Linked DNA regions of Nothobranchius furzeri. The protein of the gene in region 1 purifies or fractionates together with the protein of each later gene. This does not show direct contact. Links are inferred from orthologs where the notes say so. Each region holds a gene or a part of one and is shown on either strand. Other genes may lie near its edges. The genes, in order: mcm2, ssrp1a and tonsl.

Region 1 (7,177 bases):
GCGTGTGTGTGAGTGTGTGTGTGTGTGTACCTGCACAGGGTCGACTGTGTCTCGGACAACACACAACACATCAAACCGAGACACGATGGGCTCAGTCAGGTCCACGTTCTCGGCGAATGTGAGCGACGGGTCATACCTGCCACCTGAAACCGAACAAAAGACAAGTCAGGAAAACGAATCACACCCAGAAACCAAAACCAGCCGCGCTCGGCTCCACCTCCCACTGAGCTCAGGAATGAAAACAGCTGATGTGGCCAGCTCTCTGTGGGCCTGAAGGATCTGCTGTCAGGCAGCTGGTTGGTTGTTTTAAACACAATCTAATAAAATGAACGACGTTTCCACGGTTACAGACGGGTCGTGGCTCTGACGTACCGATGGGGTTTGCCGCAGCGATGACGGTGCAGCGAGCCTGCAGCGAGGTGACGATGCCAGCTTTGGAGATGGAGATGCTCTGCTGCTCCATGGCCTCGTGGATACTCGTCCTGTCAGCATCGTTCATCTGGAGGTCAAAGGCCACGAAGGGTTATGAAGTTCTCATTCAATTATCAGCGAGAGGTAATCTCATCTTCGTTCTCCCGAAGGGACCGAACGGGTCTCAACTCACCTTATCGAACTCATCGATCAGACACACGCCGCGGTCGGCCAGCACCAGCGCTCCAGCCTCCAAGGTCCACTCTCTGGTCACCGGGTGTCTCTGAACGTAGGCTGTCAGACCGACGGCGGACGCCCCCTGACCCGTGGTGAACACAGCTCGACTCGCCACCTTCTCCACATACCTGTGGAGGAAAACGCCTGATCAAACAAACCACTTCCTGCTCAGCATCACTTCCTGCTCCACCGTCCATCTTTGTTATGCTAATGTGTTTCCTGATGTTTGATCTGGATGTTGGCGAACCCTTGGAACAGAACTCGGACTGTGTGGTGATCATCTGCAGGATCGTGTTTGGTGCCTTACTTAAGGAACTGGGACTTGGCAGTTCCCGGGTCTCCGCACAGCAGCACGTTGATGTCTCCACGTACTTTATGTTTGCCGCCTGCAGGAGAATCAGACGAGCAGCATTAACGAACATCCGACCCGACGCGATCTGGATTTCAGCCGGGAGTCAGTACCTGGATTTTTGGACTCTCCTCCAAACAGAGACAGAGCCAAAGCTCTCTTTATGTCCTCGTGTCCGTAGATGGACGGCGCCATGCTAGCGAAGATCTGCACTCATCACAACAACCAGAGTCGTTTAAGAGAACCGGCGACCCTGTTGGGTTCTGATCCGACAACTGTGTGCCTCACCCTCTCTCCGATGCGTTCGTCTTTGGACAGGGCAACGATGGCCTTGATGTCTTCGTCTGTGAGTTCGGCCACGGCCACGCCCTCATCCCTGCGAGTGATGTGATTGGCCATGATCACTGTGGCGAACACCGGGAATCCATTAGTTGTGTTCAGAGAGCCGTCGTAGTTGTTGTGGTAGATTCCCGTCAGCTCCTGATGAGGAAAGCACGATGAAAATGTGCCACCAACCGAGCTAGCGGTCAGTTTTATCCCTCAGACGTTCGGGAGTATCCCGGAACTCCTGAAAGCAGATTTGAACTCACGATCTCGTCTCCGGGCTTGCAGCTGTCCACCAGGTCGGCCAGCAGGATGGCGTCTTTGGAGCGAGGGAGTCGGCCAGCCGCCACTTTTCCAGGACTTTCCTGGATGGTGATCCTCTGATAGTTCTGGTACACCGTCTGTCCAAAGGAAAAACATCCAGGTTCCTCTCAGAACGTCCAATTTAAGTGTTTTTTTGTTGTTTTTTAAATATCAGCGCTCACCTCCTCCATGTTGATCTCGAAGGGCCCCTGCGACTGACACTCCGGGCAGGATCCTGGCTTCACCTCCTGGTTCTGGGACTGGAAGAAGGGTCCGAGCACGAAGCTGCACTTGTTACAGTTGTATTTAACCATGCTGAGCTGAGGCAGGACTCCGGTACAGCTGCTCACCACGCCGCTGGTCCGGATCAACTGGTTCAGGTGGAGCTGCCTGAGGACCAGAGCAGAAGAACGTTTGTGAACAACACAGGACTTTAACAGCATCGCGGAGATGTTTAAGAGCCTGGAAGCTGCGCTACCTGAGCGATCGAATCTCCTCGACCAGCGGCAGGTTACAGATCCGGACGTGGATCTCGTGAGCGATGCGGTCGTATTTTGGATACATGGTGAGAACTACTTCTTTGGCTGCTTCATCAAAAATCTGACAAGAGAAATGTTTGGGTTCATTAGAAAAAGTCCTAATTATATTTTGACTTCCACGATGATAAAAACTCACCTTCAGCATCTCCGTTGGAGCTTCTGGGAGGAAATAGGCCAGAACGTGCTCCCTGGCAGCGAGGTCTTCGTAGTTCACCACCAGACTCTCCTTATTCTCTGAGACATCGGGACAAAAAGCAGGATTAAGGTTTTTCAACTCCTCTCCACCACCGTTCCTCCGTAGCAGAGATCTCAGCTACCTTTGCACATGTCGCTGATCTTCTCCTTAAACACGTTGTGGCCATTCTCGTCCACGTGGGTCCGAAGGAAGTTCTTGAAGCGGTTGTAGATCTCGAGCCGCGGAGCTGCCATAGACACCCACTCCCTCACCGTGTGTCCCTGAAGGACGGGAGGGGATTAAAAACCCAATGTGACGGTAGAGAGGCCTGAAAGAGCTCCACAAACCTTCATGTCTTCCAGGTTCTCGATGCTCTCGATCATCTCCTCCTCATCTCCATCTGCGATGCCCTCAGCGGCGCGCTCAGCCAGACGTCTTCGCCGGGCGGCAGGACGCTCATCGTCCTCGTCTTCGCTGTCTGAAAACAGCAACAAGGCAACACTTTCAGTGTTTTCATTCAATTGGATTAAAGCCGTTCTCCAGAAATGGGTCCGCTCATCTCCATCCTCACCATAAAGGAGTCCTCTCCTCAGACGTCCACTGAGGCCCTGCTCCCGGTCCCTCCTCCTCATCGCCTCCTCGGCAGCGGCTCGAGCTCCCGGCGACAGCTCCGACAGATCCTCGTCATCCAGATCCAAGCCCTCCATCTCGTATTGGTCCAGTGCCGGAATGGGGCGGTAATCTCTGGAAGAGTAGATCCACTTATCATTATGAAGCTTCCAAACAAGCTTCTGATCTCACAAACTGGTGTTCACCTCTCCATCCCATCTCCAATCAGATCCTCCCCGTCTGCCTCCTCCTCCTCCTCCAGACCCCCAGGCAGGGGTCCGTCCCCAAGCAGCCCCTCGGACTCATCCTCAAATGGGGGCAGGTCCCGTCCTGGGCTGGAGGTCAGGTCTCCTCTCCTGGAGGGTCGGTTGGGGCTGGTGATCACGTGGAACGACTCAGAGGAATCCTGTCAACAACAACAGTTACATCTCCAAACGGGCTGATCGGTAACCCTTGCAGGCAATTGGAGGGTGCAATCGTAATGTTAAACAAAATAAACTAAAGTGCAGAAATTTTGTTTTAACCCCCCCCCCCCCCATGTCTTAATTAGATAAAAAGAAAAAACTAAATGACCAGAACATCAAACAGCTCAAGAGCTTTTCAGTGGAGCATTTTAACGTTTACTGTATAAAACCAAACTAAGTTTAGTTTGAGTTATTGTTAGTTGTCTTAATTTGTTTTATTTTGAAAGATTACAATAACGGGTTTCTGGGTATAGAAGAACCTCTTGGTGCAATTTTAAATAATCCGAAATAACAAGGGAAATGTTTTCCCTGATGAATAATCTGCGTACAGCAGACAAGAAACAGCTCAGAGTAAAGAAGAAGAAGAAAGTATCATTTCTATAGCGCCTCTGAAGATAAAAAATGTAAAAATATAAAAAAGCATTTAGAAAATGTTTAACAATATATTTAAAATGAGCATAAATAGACAATTGTGATTAAAAAAATGTTAAGAAAGAGAGGGAGTGAATAGGAAAGAGGGAAATCAGTGGATCCTGAGGAAGGTGGAATAGGTGGGGAGAGCAGAATAAAGAGAGTGGTGAAGAAGGTCATACAAAAGCCAGCATGAACAAGTGAGTCTTCAGCTATTTTTAAAGGAGACCACTTTATTAAACAGTTGTTAAATAAAGAAAAGGCCACATGAGGACACGATCAGTCACTTCTGTGTTGTTGTAACTAAAGGAGATTTTCGGCTGATTTACGTGAGATAATCTGGACTTTCTATACGTTTAAATCTCAAAAACTCGACTTGAATGCATAAAAATCAGACAAACTGAAGCTGCCACATGGCAGCTCTCCGTTACAAACACCATAATTATTGTTTCTAATAACGTAAAACTAAATAAAACACTCGTCAGCATCGTTGTCGGTCACGATTCTGCATTAAAACATCTAAAACTAATCCTGATTTCCAAAAGAAAAGTTCGGATTCTTAAACAGTGAAAGTCTTTGTGTGCTTGTTTCCACAAACGAGATAAGTCAGCAAAAACTACAGCGATAAACTGGAGTTAATAAACGGCATCTTCTTTCGTTTAAGCAATAAAACCTAATTAAAGCCCGTTTTTGTTGTTTTTCACGGCTTTACTGTAACTCACCGCCATTGCTGAACTGAGCTGCTGCTGCTTCAGTGGACGACGCTGCTTCTTCTTCCTGCCCGGTTGTCCCTTTTCGCGCGAAATCGACCACGTGGAGCTCAAAGCCCGCGAATGAATATGAATATTCAAAGAGAATGCCGATGCTGGTCTTTCTCATTGGCTGACCAGATTTCAAGGGGCGGGTCTTCCTTTACGATTTGTTCGGTTTTGTCGCTGACTAGCAGCTGAATCTGCGGTGTCTCGGATGGTCTCGGTAGATACCACCCTTCAGCGGCCTGAGCCGCAGAGATAAACAAACAAACCCTCCTTGTGTGGTGTTCGTGACGTAGATAGTATGCGTTCAATTTCTTCAAGAGTTTCGGAAATTGGGTGGATTATTTTACAAATAACTGCTTAGTTCAGACAGACAGACAGACAGATAGACAGACAGACAGACAGACAGATGATAGATAGATAGATAGATAGATAGATAGATAGATAGATAGATAGATAGATAGATAGATAGATAGATAGATAGATAGATAGATAGATAGATAGATAGATAGATGATAGATAGATAGATAGATAGATAGATAGATAGATGATAGATAGATAGATAGATAGATAGATAGATAGATAGATAGATAGATAGATAGATAGATAGATAGATAGATAGATAGATAGATAGATAGATAGCATGTTTAATAATAATAATAATAATAATAATAATAATAAGACCACGGCTAAACTTATGAATTAATATCACTACGTTCATCACAAGAGAAATAACACTATTAGTGTTATTCATAATAATACAAAACCATCCATTGGTTATTGTTTCATTTGATTCACTTGGCATGCAGGTCATACAAAGACGAGGACCTTTTTAGAGCCATGACTAATATAATTAATGAGTTGAAACTGTTAGTTGAGTTCTGTGATATTTGGCTCTTTGAAAGGATCTCACTGAATCTGTTGTAGAACCACAACCAGGACTATTCTGTGATTTGGGCGAAGTCCTGAGATGTTTCTTATGAGTCACTGAAATGCTGCAGGACAGGAGGAGGAGGATGGATTTCTGAGCCTCCTATTGGCTGAGAAGCTTTGCAGGTAGGCTCTGATTGGCTGGGATGATGTGAGCAGAAATACTTGAGTCTTTGTTGAAAACAAGCTCCACTCAGTCTTGCAGCTGAGCAAAACCAGGTCAACAATTCGAGAACAGAGCATCAGCTGTTGCAGGACCTCAACGCTGCACCATTAATGTTTGTGTAAAAAAAAAAGCAGTCATCAATAAAGCAGGGAGAAACTCTGATTCTGTTCCACTCTGCTGCATGTTGGGGCAAAATCAGACTGCGGTCAAGTGAGCCGCACCTACAATTGAAGTGCGCGTTTACACGATAGTTTACGGCAACACCCGTCTCGCTGCTGGAGAGGAGCTGAGATGAGCGACATAATGGGCTATCAGGATGACACAGACCTGCAAAATGTACCTCTTTGATAAAGGATAGAATTGTGTTTTAAAAAAAGGACACTAAGCATCCTATACATACATACTAAGTACCTCGAGTACTATCTGGTACCAAAGTATGAACTACTTTTACTGTGTACTTTTTCAGTGATTGTACTTCAAAATGTCCAAAACGCCAAAAGTGCCGAGTTTGAGATAGGATAAAATGGCTTTTTGGAAAAAGGACACTAGGCCACCTATACACACATACTAAGTATGTCGAGTACTATCTGGTAACAAAGTATGAACTACTTTTACTGTGCACTTTGTCAGTAATTGTACTTCAAATTATGTACAAAAAGCTAAATGTGCCGTGTTTGAGATAGGATAAAATGGTATTTGGGAAATAGAACACTAGGCCACCTATACTTGCATACTAAGTACCTTTATTACTACCTGGTACTAAAGTATGAACTACTTTTACTGAGTACTTTTTAAGTAATTGTACTTCAAAATATGTCCAAAAAGCCAAAAGTGGCAAGTTTAAGATGGGATTAAATGGTATTTGGGGAAAAGGACACTAGGGCTAGGCCACCTATACATGCATACTAAGTACCTCGATTACTACCTGGTATCAACGTATGAACTACTTTTAGTACTTTTTCAGTAACTGTACTACAAGTTGTCCAAAAAAGCCAAAATTGCCGTGTTTGAGATGAGATAAAATGGTATTTGGGAAAAAGGACACTAGGTCACCTATGCATACATACTAAGTACCACGAGTGCTACCTGGTACTAAAGTATGAACTACTTTTACTGTGTACTTTTTCAGTAATTCTACTTCAAAGTATGTACAAAAAGCCAATAGTGCCGAGTTTGAGATGGGACGAAATGGTATTTGGGAAAAAGGACACTAGGCCACCTATACATGCATACTAAGTACCTCAAGTACTACCTGGTATCAAAGTATGAACTACTTTTTTCATGTACTTTTTCAGTAATTGTACTTCAAAGTACAAACAAAAAGCTAAATGTGCCGTGTTTGAGATAGGATAAAATGGTACTTGGGAAAAAGGACATTAGGCCACCTATACATGCATACCTCGAGTACTACCTGGTACCAAAGTATGAACTACTTTTACTGTGTACTTTTTCAGTAATTGTACTACAAAGTATGTCCAAAAAGCCAAAATTGCTGTGTTTGAGA
Region 2 (7,003 bases), on another chromosome or scaffold:
ATGATGGGTTCATGAGTCCAGAAAAAGCATTTCCAAATGCTTATCTGTAAGCTAGTAATGCCACTGTATAAACGGTATACGGATGATAAATTTAGCCACTGGTAAAGATTTTGACTAACAGCCAAGTACGATCGCACATGAATGTCATCAAGCTGCAGCAGCACGGTGCGGGTGGATAAAGACAGGCTCAAAATAAGGATAGGACTGGACGCCGACTGATGTGGTTTTTTTAAGGCCGATGCAGATACCGATTTTTAAAGAATTTTGTTGCCGATATCTAAAGCAGATTATATATATATGTATATATATATATATACATTTTAGCAGCACATTGATTGTGAAAGACAACTGAACACTCACAAGCCACGTTTACATGTGCGCAATTAATCAGACTGAACGCCCAATCAAATCAAAATTTCTGCATGTAAACATGTCAACCGGAACGTTCTGATCCGATTCGGCCCGATCGGTATGAAATTTCAATCCTATTGAGAGAGGTGGTTTTGTCCAATCATCATTCCGATTGGCGTGCATGTACACAGCCATTCGGACTGTTGGGAGTAAAATAATGCCCACTGCGCATGTGAGCAACAGCTAGCGAGCCTCCCCGTCGTCATTTGGACTAACTGACTTTTAAAATGACGACCTAATTAACGAGCGCCAGCTTTTAAAATGGATGGCAAGCCGTCCCTGTTTCAGTAATATCTAATCCAGAACTTGCATTTTGTGGAAGCAAAGTAAAAATCTGATTATTGCAGTAAAGACTGTCCCGGAAACACCAGATTCATTTCAGGTTTGCAGCACAGATCCCTGTTTCCGTGACCGCAGCAGCCGTTTCTGCAGCAGGTGGATGAAGACGTGATCGTAAAGAAGACAGGGTAACAACGGTTAATCAGACCTGGTTTGAGTAGTTAAGTAGAAAAACATCCTCAGTTCAATATTCTGGGCGACTATCTGTGTAAAAGCACGTTAACGCAGATGAGATGCGGTTCGTTTAACACATGATGAACACAGGCTTACAAACTTCTGAACATCTCCTGTTATTTAGTTTGAACCAACTTTTCACAACAGTTTCAGCCGATTGTCACATTTTATTAATAATAAACCACAACAGAGCTCAGTAATAAAACACGAGTCTTATTATCATGATAAGAGTCAGAAATTTCGACAACGATAAATTTTAGATTTATTGCCCAGCCCTACTCAAAACATAAAAAAACTGTTAGGGTTCTTTGGGTCCTTTCTTCAGTCTAGTAGTGGCAGCAGTCGGGCACACCTGATTTATTTATTTATTTGTTTTAATCGGCTTTTAAAAATAATTTCGGCCGATATAGAAAAAACTTGAAATTATCGGTCCGATCTATCGGTCAGCCTCTAGATGGGACAATGTTGGTTATACAGACCTGGTCTGGGTTGGATGTTGAGCAGAAAAGCATCCTCAGTAAAACATGCTGGCTTAACGAGCTTTTATCTCCGTTAATAGCTCGCTCAACAAAGTTCCCTTTAATGCCATTTGATTTTCTTTAACACATAATGAACACACAGGCTTTCAAACCTTTTGGACATCTCCTGTGTTTTAGTTTGAACAATTTTTCCTCCACAGTTTCAAAGATTTCTCTTGCTTATAAAAAAGTTTGAGTCTGAAAATGGCTGCCCTCTCTCGCTCTACGCTGCCTGTGTGCACAGCGTTCAGACCTGCTGATCAGCTGATCTGAGCGCCGCCCGACAACAGGGAGAGGAATATAATAAACCTTCAGCCTCATTTTACTGTTGTTGGCATAAAAATAATAACAATAAAAAGAAACACAAACAGGAACATTGTAACCTCCATTTACTTTGGACAGAAAATCAAAGACTGCACTAAACCGTCAAAGATGGATGATCCCTAAACCCATAACTAGAGGAATGATGGTAACCAATCACACAACGGGGACACGTGTTATATATTTTAGTAAGCCAAGTTTTAATGTAATGATGTAGGATCCTACACCCAGTAAACATTTAGTACAAATAGAAAAAGCATGTACTCTGTAGGATTTCGCCAGCATTGTCTGCATGGTTGACCCAGAATTCAGAGCAGATGTAAAATACCATCAGCTGCTAGATTTCTACACACGAGGAACTTGGATTAAAACAGATTCTTATTTAAGGTTTTTAAGGGTTTGTTTGGTAGAACGGGGTCGTTTGGGCATTTTAGGACATAATTCACTATCAGTTATAAAAACAGCAGAAACAACTTTAAAATATTTTGCTCCTTTTTAGATTCAACATCAAAGTTTAAAGCAGAACCACAAAATACTGACCTCATCTCAATTAGCATTTAATAATCATTCTGTTAAATGATGATTTACATAAAAACTGAGTTATATTCTATTTTTCATTTGACTTAAAGGCAGCTCCATCAGAACATCCCACTATACAAACATGTTTATCCTCATTTGGTCCTTCGTGTTGAGACGACGTTGGTAATTGTAAAGGTGTTACTTATAACTGCTCTTTAGAGAATGCTGTGTGGTGCACTAATCCGTGTCACAATAACATTTAATGTAAAACACTAAGATATAAATATACACACTGTTCTAGGGGTGGTGGGTATAATCTATTTTCTGATGCATCAATGTGGGCATAAATGATTCTGAATGGATTTAAAGATGTTAAAAAATAAATAATTTACATAAACGGTAATTAATGACACAATGCTGAGGGACGCAAAAGGCAGAACCTTTAGGAGCAGAGGTGCAACATCTGGACCGTTTAGGAGGAGCTCACATCACAAACGAGTTCTGCCCATGAGGGTCAGGACATCCTGGGTTTGATGATATCTGGAACTTAGCTGTAATTTAAATGTTCTGAAATTAATTTGAAGTGATTCAGACTCTTTTGAGGCTAAATGTGAATGTTTTCTATTCTGATTTTTTTGTTGGGGGGTATTTGTGTACTCTTATCAGATATCAAAATGGTTAAAAAGGCAAGTCTTCAGTTTAATTCACAATAATTCACATTATTCAAACTCCAGTTTGTATTTGTATATGAAAGCTGTGATTTCAAGATGGGAACATGAAAAGATTGATTTTGTTCCATTCGTTAAAAAATTACTGAATGTAAATTAATTTGGGGTTACGAAAACACTTTTCCATAAAAGTACCTGATGCACACCAGTCACACAGAGGAGAGGTGAGGGGAAGACATGTTTTTATTTATTTATTTCTGTATGAAACTATCTGATCAATTAAATGAAATCACAAGGGGCCTTAAAGATTATTTGCTACTAATAAGATGCTTTAATGAGGAAAAAAAAGAGTTATTGCTGATTTCTGAAGGAGTGTCTGAATCACATTTGATAGATTATGATAAAACATGACGTTACTCCTGCCCTATGACACGAGTGATGTAAACTTGTGTTGGCAGATGAAAGCATACATCACAGATACAGTGGTCAAATGAACATCCTCTTGGATCTTCTTGACTAAATTCTGATGCCATGTTGATATTCAGTTGACACCTTCAAATAGTAACAAGGGGAAAAACCTTCTGAAATTGACTTTTTTTTGTGATTTAAGGATACAAGTGTTATCAGATAACCAGGATCCTATCATGCTGTGGGTTACATACTGAACGTGCAAACACACAATCATTTAGTAGAGATGTAAAATAAAAGGCAGGGTGAAGGAACTGACCCAAGAGCCTTTGACCTCCTGGTAGATCTCGTTGAACTCCAGTGTGTCCCCCATGTCGGCTCCAGGCGATGACTGACGCTCTATACACAGGTAAACGGCATCAGTTCCAACCAAACATCAACAAGTTCATTACAAAATGAAATATTCTGTGCTGTTTTCCAAATGTTAGTCATTCTGAAGCATCGAGACGCTCAGATGATGATTTTTATCTTAATGGGACCTTCCTGGTTAAACAAAGATGAAATCTGACCTAACGTTATCTCAACGGTTACGTTTGCTTATTTTTTTTACTGTGTGCCCATTTAAAATAGTTAAAAATCTACCCAACAATATTGTAAAATACAATCTGAAGAGCAGAAATGTTTACAATCCCACCGTGACACAAGTAAAGGCTGTGTCACTCCGTTTGTCAGCACCATCAAGCATGCTCCATCACTCACAATAGCTAAGCTAGCATAGGTGCACTTGCTACGCTTCTTTTGAGTACCGATGTTTAACCGAGTCGTAATTTTGGTTGTAGGAAATGGCACGAACAACAGCACCGCCCCGCAGCAATGCAAAGTACACCGAATCGAGCGCAACAAAAAAAGAAGCTAGGCCGGTTTTGGAAAACAAGTACTATTTTATGGTCTACATAACAAAGAAATCAAATTCAGTTGAGGCGCGTGAGCAAACCTATCTTCTGTTGATTAGTTTCTCTCACAAACAAGTTTTTATCCACAGGAGAAAAGGCAGTTTTTTAAACGTAGACTTACAATCACTGAGATGTGCAGATTCGTTTCCCGCGTGTAGCATCAGGAGCTAGTGTGACGTCACAGGAAACAACAGCAGGAGTATGCGTTTCTTTCCGGTTTGCCAAAAGGTTTTTTTAAGCATTCTATATTTTTTGACTAAACACTTTCCCATTTGTATAAGATGTAAATGTGTTTGTATTAACGAGTTTTTAAAGATATATCAAACTAATAGTGGCATGATTTTACGGAGTCTGCGCAGACCAGAGAATGGTGCAGTGACCCCGATATACCACTACAGGGCGCACAATCCCTCCAAGAGCCTGAAGAGTCCTGTCGTTACTTGTGTTATAAATCTCTTGTTAGAAGAACATTAAATACTGAGCGAAGCGACGCAAATTTGGTTCATTTTTGCTTTAAAATACATTCAGATGTGCTAGCCACAATCTATAGTGTGAACAGATATTCACGTTTTCATTTTACAAGAAAAAGGCAAGAACTGGTGTTACAGTGAGGATCGGATCAGATTAACCTGCTGAGGTAGCACAGTTTGGAAACGAAGTCTGATACTTGATAGTAACTTGATTAAATAAAATAATGCAAGAGGATAATAGTTAACAAAGTACAGAAATACAATTAGAACACAGGGCCCGAAAGCCAGTCATAATAGCACCATGTCAGATGAGTGTGCTTTAGTGATCCACATAGTCTCAATTAAATATCTTGTTAAATTAAAAAAATAAATAAATAAAACAAGAGTTTTGGGTCTCCCTTCGATTAATCCTGAGGATCTGCTGTCAGTCCACATTAACAAGGCCACAATTCAAACGCATACCCCGCGTGACCTGAACAGATATGGAAAACCTGCCAGATTAAGGATTTTTTTTTCAAGAAACTGCTGCATCCTGCCAGATTATGTGAGATTGGAAAATGAGATCAATGTCGTCTGTTGTTAAACAAAAGGTTTAAACAGAAGAGTTGCTTAAAACATTTAAATGTGATTAGTGTATGCGTTTCTTATATTTTAAACACGCAATTTTAAAGAAAATGTTTTTGTTTTTTTTGCGACAAATTGGAAATGATGGATTAAACGCAGACGAAGTGTTTTCATCATTTACAGTAAATTTTAAAGCGTTCCATTAAAACGCGTCTTTCTCTCCTTTCTGAAGTTAAACGGTCCCTCTAATCCCTGTTTCCTGGAGCATTTGGATCGTGGAGTTTCTGCCCTGTCCTCCTGGCCCGAGGTGACCCGATCCGGGCCGAGGTGAGTCGATCCGGTCCGACTCGTTACCTTATTAAAGGGAAGCAGATTAAAGATCAAACGCCGCTGTCAGCTCGCGTTCGCGGAGATGAGAGACAGAAATGAGTTGTGACAAGTCCCGTGGTTCGAGCTGAGCCGTGATGCGTCAACCTGGTGAATCACCGCAGAGGAGGAGAACAGGGGAAGAAGAGGAGACAGGGATGGAAAAGAGGGGAGGAATGGGAGAAAAAGAGGAGGAGGAGGAGGTACAAAAAGAGCTCCGCCGTCATTCCGTCTGTCACACAGACCACACAAGTCAGAGGATAAATTTAAACGACGTCCTGAGGAAGGTTACTCTCAAATTTATTTTTCTTTTTTTTATTTTGAACAAAAAAGTTCGTTCATCCTGTAAAGACCGAGTCACCACATCACCTGTGTTAAAAAGTTACGAATTTCTTTTTAGTTGAGATTGGAATTAACGGTTCTGGAGACCATGAGAAGCTTTGGTAAAGGTAAGATCATGAATCTAGTTATCTTATTAAAACCTGTGGATATAAATCATTATTATTACATCTTTTAGACACGTATTGCATTAAAAGTCACAAAACAGATTATTCTTAAAAAAGCAACAAAAGACTATTTACAATAGTATTTATAGACAAAAAAGGACTTTGTCAAATTAAACGTTATTTATTTATAATGTCACTAATACTAGTAATAGTAATTATTATTAGTAGTAAACAATGTTTTTTAACAATAGAACAAAAACAATTAAAAGTGTGTGTGTGTGTGTGTGTGTGTGTGTGTGTGTGTGTGTGTGTGTGTGTGTGTGTGTGTGTGTGTGTGTGTGTGTGTGTGGTCTCACACCCTGACTAAAGTGAATAATGTACTTTCTCATATCAGTGACAGCTACCTAGACAGGAGCTTCTGACCCCATCAAATTCACACACACACACACACACACACACACACACACACACACACACACACACACACACACACACACACACACACACACACACACACACACACACACACACACACACACACACACACACACACACACACACACACACACACATTTATCTGTTCAGGTACATCCAGAAACACCCGTAACTCCTCACATGGCTCTGATGCAACACTCAGAGGGAAAACCAGCAGGGAGACGAATTAGTGTCGGTGTGTTTCAGATAAAACCTTTAGTGTGTCTTGGATCAGGGGCCGACCAATCACAGGAAACAATAGGAGGAAGGAGGAGGGGAGGAGGAAGCGGGAGGATGAAGTGAACCCTTCACTGCGTTTGATTGGCTGGAGCCATCCTCGATTCTTCATGGTGCACATGTCAGGAGGGTAGT
Region 3 (7,123 bases), on another chromosome or scaffold:
AAAGCATAAATTCAGTCCTACCTTTGTTGCTTTTTGGTCATAATAATCTGTGTTTTGGTTTAAAAGAAATAACACTTGGTTTGTGTAATCCAACGTCCCAACATTCCTGTCTGTCTTGTGCTTTTTTATTTTTTTTTACCCGCTGGACAGTGTTTACATACCACATTCCATCATTTCCTGGTTCTTCATAATAAAAAAAGGAACAGGAAATTTGTCACAAGATGATTTGATCATGGAAAAAGTGTGAAGTCACATTTTGAAAATGCACTAAATGCAGACTAAACACAGCACGTTTGGTTTGTGTGATGTATAGATTGTTTAGTTTAATTTTCGAGTTTTTTATATATATTCTCTGATTCCTATCTTCTTCTTCTTCCAGGGAAACTAGTGAGGCGATGCTCTAGCGCCCCGCTATGGACGAGCCACCACTGATTCTTACATATTGCACCTTTAATTTAGGCTGTTGAAAAAGTCATTTATTTTGCAGCTGAATCACATTCTCCCTGAGATACAGACGTCTACTACACAGAGACATTTTCTAGTTCTTCCCCAGTTGCGGCAAACATACAAAAATACCTCAAAAACTATCAATCGGATCTGACATATTTTGACATTAAGTGAGAGGAGAAGTAGCTGAAGAGGGGGATGTATAATATGTGCATGGTATGTACAAGTTGTGTCATTAGAAGTTAAACCCAAAACAGAAATTGCAGATGTCAGCTGGTAATTTGGGACATCTCTCTGTTTCTCTCACCTTCACAAACAGGATTCTAATTGTAAAAACTGTAAATACAAATCAATTTAAATAATCACGTAATTGTTATTCAGAGGGATCGCAGTGAGCTGAGTTCTTGAAGGTCCAAATTGACACGATAGATAAAAAAATCGTTTTAGTGTTTTATGAACTTATAGTCAGTGGACTGAGTTGATACTCGTGCTACAAAATAAACATTCTGGTATGACATTTATTGTGTGATCTTTCTCAACAATCAGAAAGCAACTACTCCCTGGAAACGTTCAATTATCATTGTATCTGAGGGCAGAGTTGATTTCTAGGTTCAGATGAGCAAAGATTTCATACCAGATGACCTCAGAAACACACCCGACCCTTCAGAAAACTGTCCCTCAGTTTGGATTATCGATAAGACTACCGGCTCTTTTCCAAATATTGGTATTCCGGTATGAGCTCCACTCAGAAGCTGGGGTTATTATTTTTATCTATTTTCCTTGACACACAACTTAAACCTTGTATTTCCTTGTATTGTCGAAGAAAGACTGATATGCTTGCAGGATGTTTATCACGCTGTTGCATAGTCAACATCATAACAAGAATAGGTCCCCACCTGTCGCCGTGGTAGAAGTCAGTTGTCCAGTAATCGGAAGGTTGCAGGTTCGATCCCGGCTCCGGACAGGGAATTCTGCTGTTGTGTCCTTGGGCAAGACACTTAACCCATCTTGCCTGCTGGTGGTGTTCAGAGGGACCGGTGGCGCCTGTGCTCGGCAGCCTCGCCTCTATCAGTGTGCCCCAAGGCAGCTGTGGCTACATCGTAGCTCATCACCATCAGTGTGTGAATGTGTGTGTGAATGGATGAATGATACATTGTGGTGTAAAGCGCTTTGGAGTCCTTACTCTGAAAGGCGCTACACAAGCGCGGGTCATTTATTTACCACAAAAATTGGGTCCTTTGGTGATTCACTTGCAACTTTATAAATCCAGTTTCCTCTTCTCATTTTTAATATTAATTTTCTCAGGAGGACGAAAATATAGTTTTTTAAAGCTTCATTATAATAAGTAGACTAAAATATTGAGTTCTAAACGAATGAAAATATAAAACGTGCAATTTCAGACGCGGGGGAGCAACTCCCCATCATAACTTCCAGAGAATTGTTCTAGCATTGGCCAGGAGAGGGCGCGAAATCCCCGTTCTTTCTAGGCAACAACACATGCTGAATGGCGGTAGCCTGGCCTGCCAGACTCCTCTGTACAGAGAAAGGGTCTGGGAACTCTCCTATTCAAATAACCCCACCCCGTGAGAATTCCAACCGAGCCAATCAGCATCCAGGCTAGAATAGTGGCCCTTGAGGAACCCGGGTGCAACACAACCGTGGGTTTTGAAAGCTGGAATGGTCATTTTTATTGTGTTTTTAGCTACTAAAATGAAATCACTTTTATAATGAGTTTCCCTGTTGCCAACACCAAAATTAAAAATTTAAAGAATTTAGAAAAAGTATTTCTAACTTTTGCAAATTTATAAATCCAGTTTCCTCGTCTCTTTCTACGATTCATCATTCTCCTGCTTAATATTCATATTCCCAAGAGGATGAAAAGAAATACAGTTTTTAAAAGCTTAATTAAAACAAGGAGGTGAAAATATTCTGTTCTAAATAGATGAAAAGGTCAAAATTGCAGTATCTAATTTCAGACACTGGAGGTCAGTCACTCCCCAACCGCCCTTCATCACCACAGACACTGCCACTGAGCAACACCCATTCTTATTTTGCTTTGTAGCCCTACGTAATAACTGTCAGGCGGTTAAAAGCCTAATTGCAGGGAGAAAAAATCAATTATATTTTTACAATTGTTAAATAATATCAGACTATTGAGTTGAAGGGGCGTACTTTGATTGTTGACCGGCGTTCTCATAGTTTGAACCTGGAGTTTATGCCTGACAGACATTACAGCGGGCAGATAAATATTATCGCTTCATTGAGTGACGTTTTCCTGGCGGGGCAATGCGAAACCAGAAACTTGTAAACGCGAAGCTAAACATGAGTGTTTACGCAGATGATTGATACATGTGAATGTTTTCTTATTGCATACAGTCAGAATCTGAGGCTAATTCTAAACGTAGGCAAACGTATGACGTTGCTAAACAGTTATGAGGCAAATGTCCTGTTAACCGCCAACAGGCAGAGCTAAGCTAACGTTTAGCGCGCTGTTTGTCATTCACTACCAGCTGTCAGTTAAACCAATATGAGCTCTTCACGAGAAATCAAACGTAAGTGTTGCTCTATTTACAGCTGATCTGTTGGTTCCAAAAGGCTAAGATGGTTGTTTTGACTGCTCTTCTCTGCAGAGCTGCTGAAGGCAAAAAGCAAAGCCCAGACCAGCAATCACTTAAAGGAGGAAGCCAACATCTGCAACCAGCTAGGAGAGCTGTTGTCCAGGACTGGTATGAACCTCCACAGTTTTATATTTTTTATTATTATCACAAATGTGCTACCATCGCTTTACATCTTTATGTGACACTCTCTCCCACACACTTTCTGTTGCATATTCTCTGCGCCTTTGCAGCCTTAGATTTTATTATTTATCAATTAAATTTGCTCCCTATTTGTGCTGATGCATATAAAGGTTGTTGTGTTTGATCTGTGCATACCTCAGGTGACTACAAGGCAGCCATCAGGGAACATCAACAGGAGCTAGCTCTCTCTGAGGCTCTAAAAGATGTGATCGGACGCGCTGTGGCCCATCGGAAGATAGGAGAGTGCTATGCAGAGATGGGAAACATCGAGGCTGCTTTGAAAGTAAGCAGACTTGAATGCAAAAATGTTTTTTTAATGCATACCTAAAAGGAGTGTCTTGCTTTTTTTTTTTTTTTTGGTTTCCAGCATCAGCATCATCACCTGGACCTGGCTCGCTCTGTCAGAGATCATGCTGAAGAGCAAAGAGCTCTGGCTACCATTGGTCGTACCTACCTGTTCTGTTATGAATCTGACCAATCGAAGAACAGTTTAAAGCTGGCAGAAGATGCTTTCAGGAAGAGCTTGGCCATTGTGGATGAGCGTCTAGGTGGTGTGTATCGATTGTTTGGGTAACTTGGAATAATCGCGCTCTGGTTAGGTGGTTACGTATGAAGGTTCTTTCAACGTTTAGGGATGGTGTCCGAGCGAGAGATCAGTGAGATGAAGGCTCGGCTTTTCCTCAACCTTGGTCTGGTGTGCGATCATCTAGGGGAGCCCAAACGCTGCAGCGAGTTCATCCGACGTAGCGTCTTCATTGCAGAGTAAGAAGAACATCTCAAAACGATCTCCTAATCGTGGTCATAATACGCTTTAATTCATTTGCCCTGCACAAAGTCTTATGATTTCGTCTTGGAACAGGAGGAGCCAGCTGCTAGAGGATCTCTACCGGGCCAACTTTAACTTGGGCAACATCTACTTCCGCAACGGCCAACACTCCAACTCTGTCCGCTGTTTGGAGCAGGCCAAAGAGTGTTCCCGGAAGATGAAAGACAAGTTTGCTGAGAGTGAATGCTTTCACTGCATTGGCAAGGTAGGAGTACCCTTCTACTGTTCGTCACTGCATTTTCACAGGCTCTGATGACTCAGACTCACATCCAGGTGCAGCTGTCTCTGGGGGATTTTGTAGCTGCCAGACGATCTCTAAAGAAGGCTCTACTGTTGGGTTCTCAACAACCAGCAGACAAGCAGGCAGTGAAGAAAGCTTTTAAATATGGTGAGAGGGTTTTTGTTTGTTGGTTTTTGATCGTATTTCCTCACAGATGCATTAACAACATGACGTGTGTGTAATACCGTAGCTGATCGAGGCTGTAGGTTAGAGGAAGAGCTGGGGGAAGATCAGGAGAAGAGTTTCTGCTCCCATCGGGCTGTGGAGCTGTCGGAGCAGCTAGGGGATCTTTACTGTAAGGTTGGCTGCTACAGCAAAGCTCTGGAGGCTTACCAGGCTCAGGTGAGACACCTAAGAGAAAACAAAATGCTCCATTTTAACTTTAGCTCTTGAAATTAGCTGGATTGTAATTTCTCCTGTGAATTAGCTGAAAGGTGCTGAGATGATGGCGAAACCGGCGCGGGAGCTGGCTGTGATCCACGTGTCCCTGGCTGCTACCTGCACAGACCTGAGACAACACGACAAGGCCGTGGAGCACTACAGGAAGGAGCTGGCTTTACGACAGGGCAGCTCTACAGAGGTGCACCTTCACCCCATAACACCAAGATAGATAACTTATTACTGTGGAAGAAACGACAGATTTCCTCTGTTGGACTGAATTAACTAACATATTTGCAGGCATGGTTGTTAAAAATCTACTCTTATTAAATCACAGAGCTTGTTTTAACCAACAGCTAATGCATGCGCATAACTACTGGTGTGTGTGTGTGTGTGTGCGTCAGGAGTGTAGCACATGGCTGAACATCGCAGCAGCTCAGGAGGAGAGTGGCTGCATATCTGAGGACATAGAAGGCAGCTACAGATCAGCTTCACGCTGTGCAGAGGCGTCCGGGGAGGTCCGACTGCAGGTGAGGAAATGTGACATAAAGTATTTAAATAGAAGCAGCATTTTTATCACAGCTTTACTACAGGTCTATGTAAAAGTTCATCTTACGTCCCACAGAAACGCACGCTGAGACTCTGGCTGGCCTTCCAAAGACGGAGCGGCTCATCGGAAGCAGATGACACGGCGGCGAAGCTGCAAGAGCTTTGTGCCTCAAAGGGCTGTGATCCAGAGGAGAGTGATGGGGAGGAGGATGAGGAGGAGGAGACGGACAACACCGAAACTCTGGAGGACAGCGATGTCGTTCTCTCAGACTCAGGTAGACAGATTCATCTGCCTTGTTGTCGTTCTTTTTTAAAACACAGAAACGGTTTTGTTACCTGTTACTGACGCTACAGTTTCGCCGACGGCTGCCGGCTTCTTCAGGCTGACGCTGATAAAGGAGAAGGAAGACTTGGAATTAGAACATGGAATTAGAAATAACGCACAGCAAGAACACACCTAAGATTCATCTGCCTCCCTACAGGGGGCTGAACTTGTGATATTTATATTTATTTGCCTTTCAGATGATGATTTAGAGGGTTACGACAAAATGGTGTCAGGAAGAAGAAAGACAGGGAGGGTGAGTTAATTCATTATCAGTTAAATTATCTTTGGTTTCCTTAATTCAGACGTTAAACTTTTTGCCTTTTTTGCACTCGTGTGTTCGATTTAGTGGAATAAGAGGAACGAGAAGGGAGAGACGTCTCTCCACAGAGCGTGTATCGACGGAAACCTGAAGCAAGTCCAGTGTCTGGTAGAGCAGGTGAAAAACCGTTGAACTGTGAATCTTTTATCATGAGTGAGCTTCATGAAAATAAAAGTGTGTGTGTGTGTGTGTGTGTGTGTGTGTGTGTGTGTGTGTGTGTGTGTGTGTGTGTGTGTGTGTGTGTGTGTGTGTGTGTGTGTGTGTGTGTGTGTGTGTGTGTGTGTGTGTCAGGGTCACCCAGTAAATCCCAGGGACTACTGTGGCTGGACTCCCCTCCACGAGGCCTGCAACCATGGTCACTATGGTAACCGAGCTCTGTTCTGTTGTTAGAAATCAGTCCAGTCCAGATGTTTTCACTTACATTCTGTATCTCCGCTGTCATCCAGATGTGGTGGCCTTGCTACTGGAGCGTGGCGCCAACATCAACGATCCCGGCGGGCCCCTCTGTGAGGGAGTGACTCCTCTGCACGACGCCCTCGCTTGTGGGAATTTAAAAGTTGCACGACTGCTGGTGGAACGAGGAGCTTCTGTCACACTCCGCAACTCCAAGGTTGGTTGGATTTCTGTAGAGGTTGCATTACAAATATTTACTTTTGTAAATCAAATCAAAGATACTTTATTAATCCCAGAGGGAAATTAGAGTTATTAGTCAGCCTCATTTCACTCAGGTATCATTTTACACATAGAAACCATCTAAACTTGATGAAATCACAATTTTGTTTGTATTTTCTGTGCAAATAAGTCATTTGATTCTAAGAATTTAAAGATTTAATTAAATGACTAATATTACTGTATTTTTTTATTATTGTTTTTGCAACTTGGAGGAAAAAAAGTTAAACTAGTTCAATTTTAATGCAATTAAACAACGCTTCATGAAATACATTTAAATATGTCTGATTTAGCCTGACAAATAGTACAATTTTCCACTAAATGTAAGATTCATGGTCTTACTTTTCTTCAGCTAAGCTAACGTTAGCCACAACATGCTACCGTTATACAACACATCTTCCAAAAGATATGACTTGTAAATTACAAAAAAACTCACTTTTGTTTCTGTTTATCCATCACGTCTTGCTCCACAAAAGTATTTATGAAGAACTACCACCGCTTTGGAGGTCACATGACTTCCAGGGGAAAGGAT

The links.
Region 2: the proteins of mcm2 (region 1) and ssrp1a purify together in Homo sapiens (affinity purification with mass spectrometry; 6 studies listed by BioGRID and IntAct, counting the BioPlex papers as one, with this or other methods). This does not show direct contact. The link is inferred for Nothobranchius furzeri from reciprocal best matches to the Homo sapiens genes MCM2 and SSRP1.
Region 3: the proteins of mcm2 (region 1) and tonsl purify together in Homo sapiens (affinity purification with mass spectrometry; 4 studies listed by BioGRID and IntAct, with this or other methods). This does not show direct contact. The link is inferred for Nothobranchius furzeri from reciprocal best matches to the Homo sapiens genes MCM2 and TONSL.

What each region holds. Positions count from the first base shown.
Region 1 is NC_091743.1:72,010,500-72,017,676, reverse strand, and holds the start of mcm2 (DNA replication licensing factor MCM2), read right to left. Parts: upstream 4,647-7,177; 5' UTR 4,551-4,646; coding exon 4,545-4,550; intron 3,354-4,544; coding exon 3,154-3,353; intron 3,083-3,153; coding exon 2,910-3,082; intron 2,817-2,909; coding exon 2,686-2,816; intron 2,620-2,685; coding exon 2,481-2,619; intron 2,398-2,480; coding exon 2,300-2,397; intron 2,225-2,299; coding exon 2,103-2,224; intron 2,015-2,102; coding exon 1,807-2,014; intron 1,723-1,806; coding exon 1,588-1,722; intron 1,478-1,587; coding exon 1,286-1,477; intron 1,205-1,285; coding exon 1,111-1,204; intron 1,035-1,110; coding exon 956-1,034; intron 777-955; coding exon 605-776; intron 500-604; coding exon 373-499; intron 144-372; coding exon 31-143; intron 1-30. UniProt on the Homo sapiens protein: Acts as a component of the MCM2-7 complex (MCM complex) which is the replicative helicase essential for 'once per cell cycle' DNA replication initiation and elongation in eukaryotic cells.
Region 2 is NC_091741.1:91,652,859-91,659,861, reverse strand, and holds the start of ssrp1a (FACT complex subunit SSRP1a), read right to left. Parts: upstream 4,520-7,003; 5' UTR 4,433-4,519; intron 4,160-4,432; exon of another isoform or gene 4,053-4,159; intron 3,758-4,052; 5' UTR 3,732-3,757; coding exon 3,678-3,731; intron 1-3,677. Other genes in the region: uncharacterized protein clcf1, read left to right, coding at 6,142-6,160. UniProt on the Homo sapiens protein: Component of the FACT complex, a general chromatin factor that acts to reorganize nucleosomes. The FACT complex is involved in multiple processes that require DNA as a template such as mRNA elongation, DNA replication and DNA repair.
Region 3 is NC_091758.1:29,049,285-29,056,407, reverse strand, and holds the start of tonsl (tonsoku-like protein), read left to right. Parts: upstream 1-2,537; 5' UTR 2,538-2,974; coding exon 2,975-2,999; intron 3,000-3,077; coding exon 3,078-3,173; intron 3,174-3,385; coding exon 3,386-3,528; intron 3,529-3,612; coding exon 3,613-3,796; intron 3,797-3,877; coding exon 3,878-4,007; intron 4,008-4,104; coding exon 4,105-4,276; intron 4,277-4,344; coding exon 4,345-4,459; intron 4,460-4,541; coding exon 4,542-4,693; intron 4,694-4,778; coding exon 4,779-4,931; intron 4,932-5,133; coding exon 5,134-5,259; intron 5,260-5,354; coding exon 5,355-5,553; intron 5,554-5,800; coding exon 5,801-5,856; intron 5,857-5,949; coding exon 5,950-6,039; intron 6,040-6,213; coding exon 6,214-6,286; intron 6,287-6,368; coding exon 6,369-6,532; intron 6,533-7,123. UniProt on the Homo sapiens protein: Component of the MMS22L-TONSL complex, a complex that promotes homologous recombination-mediated repair of double-strand breaks (DSBs) at stalled or collapsed replication forks.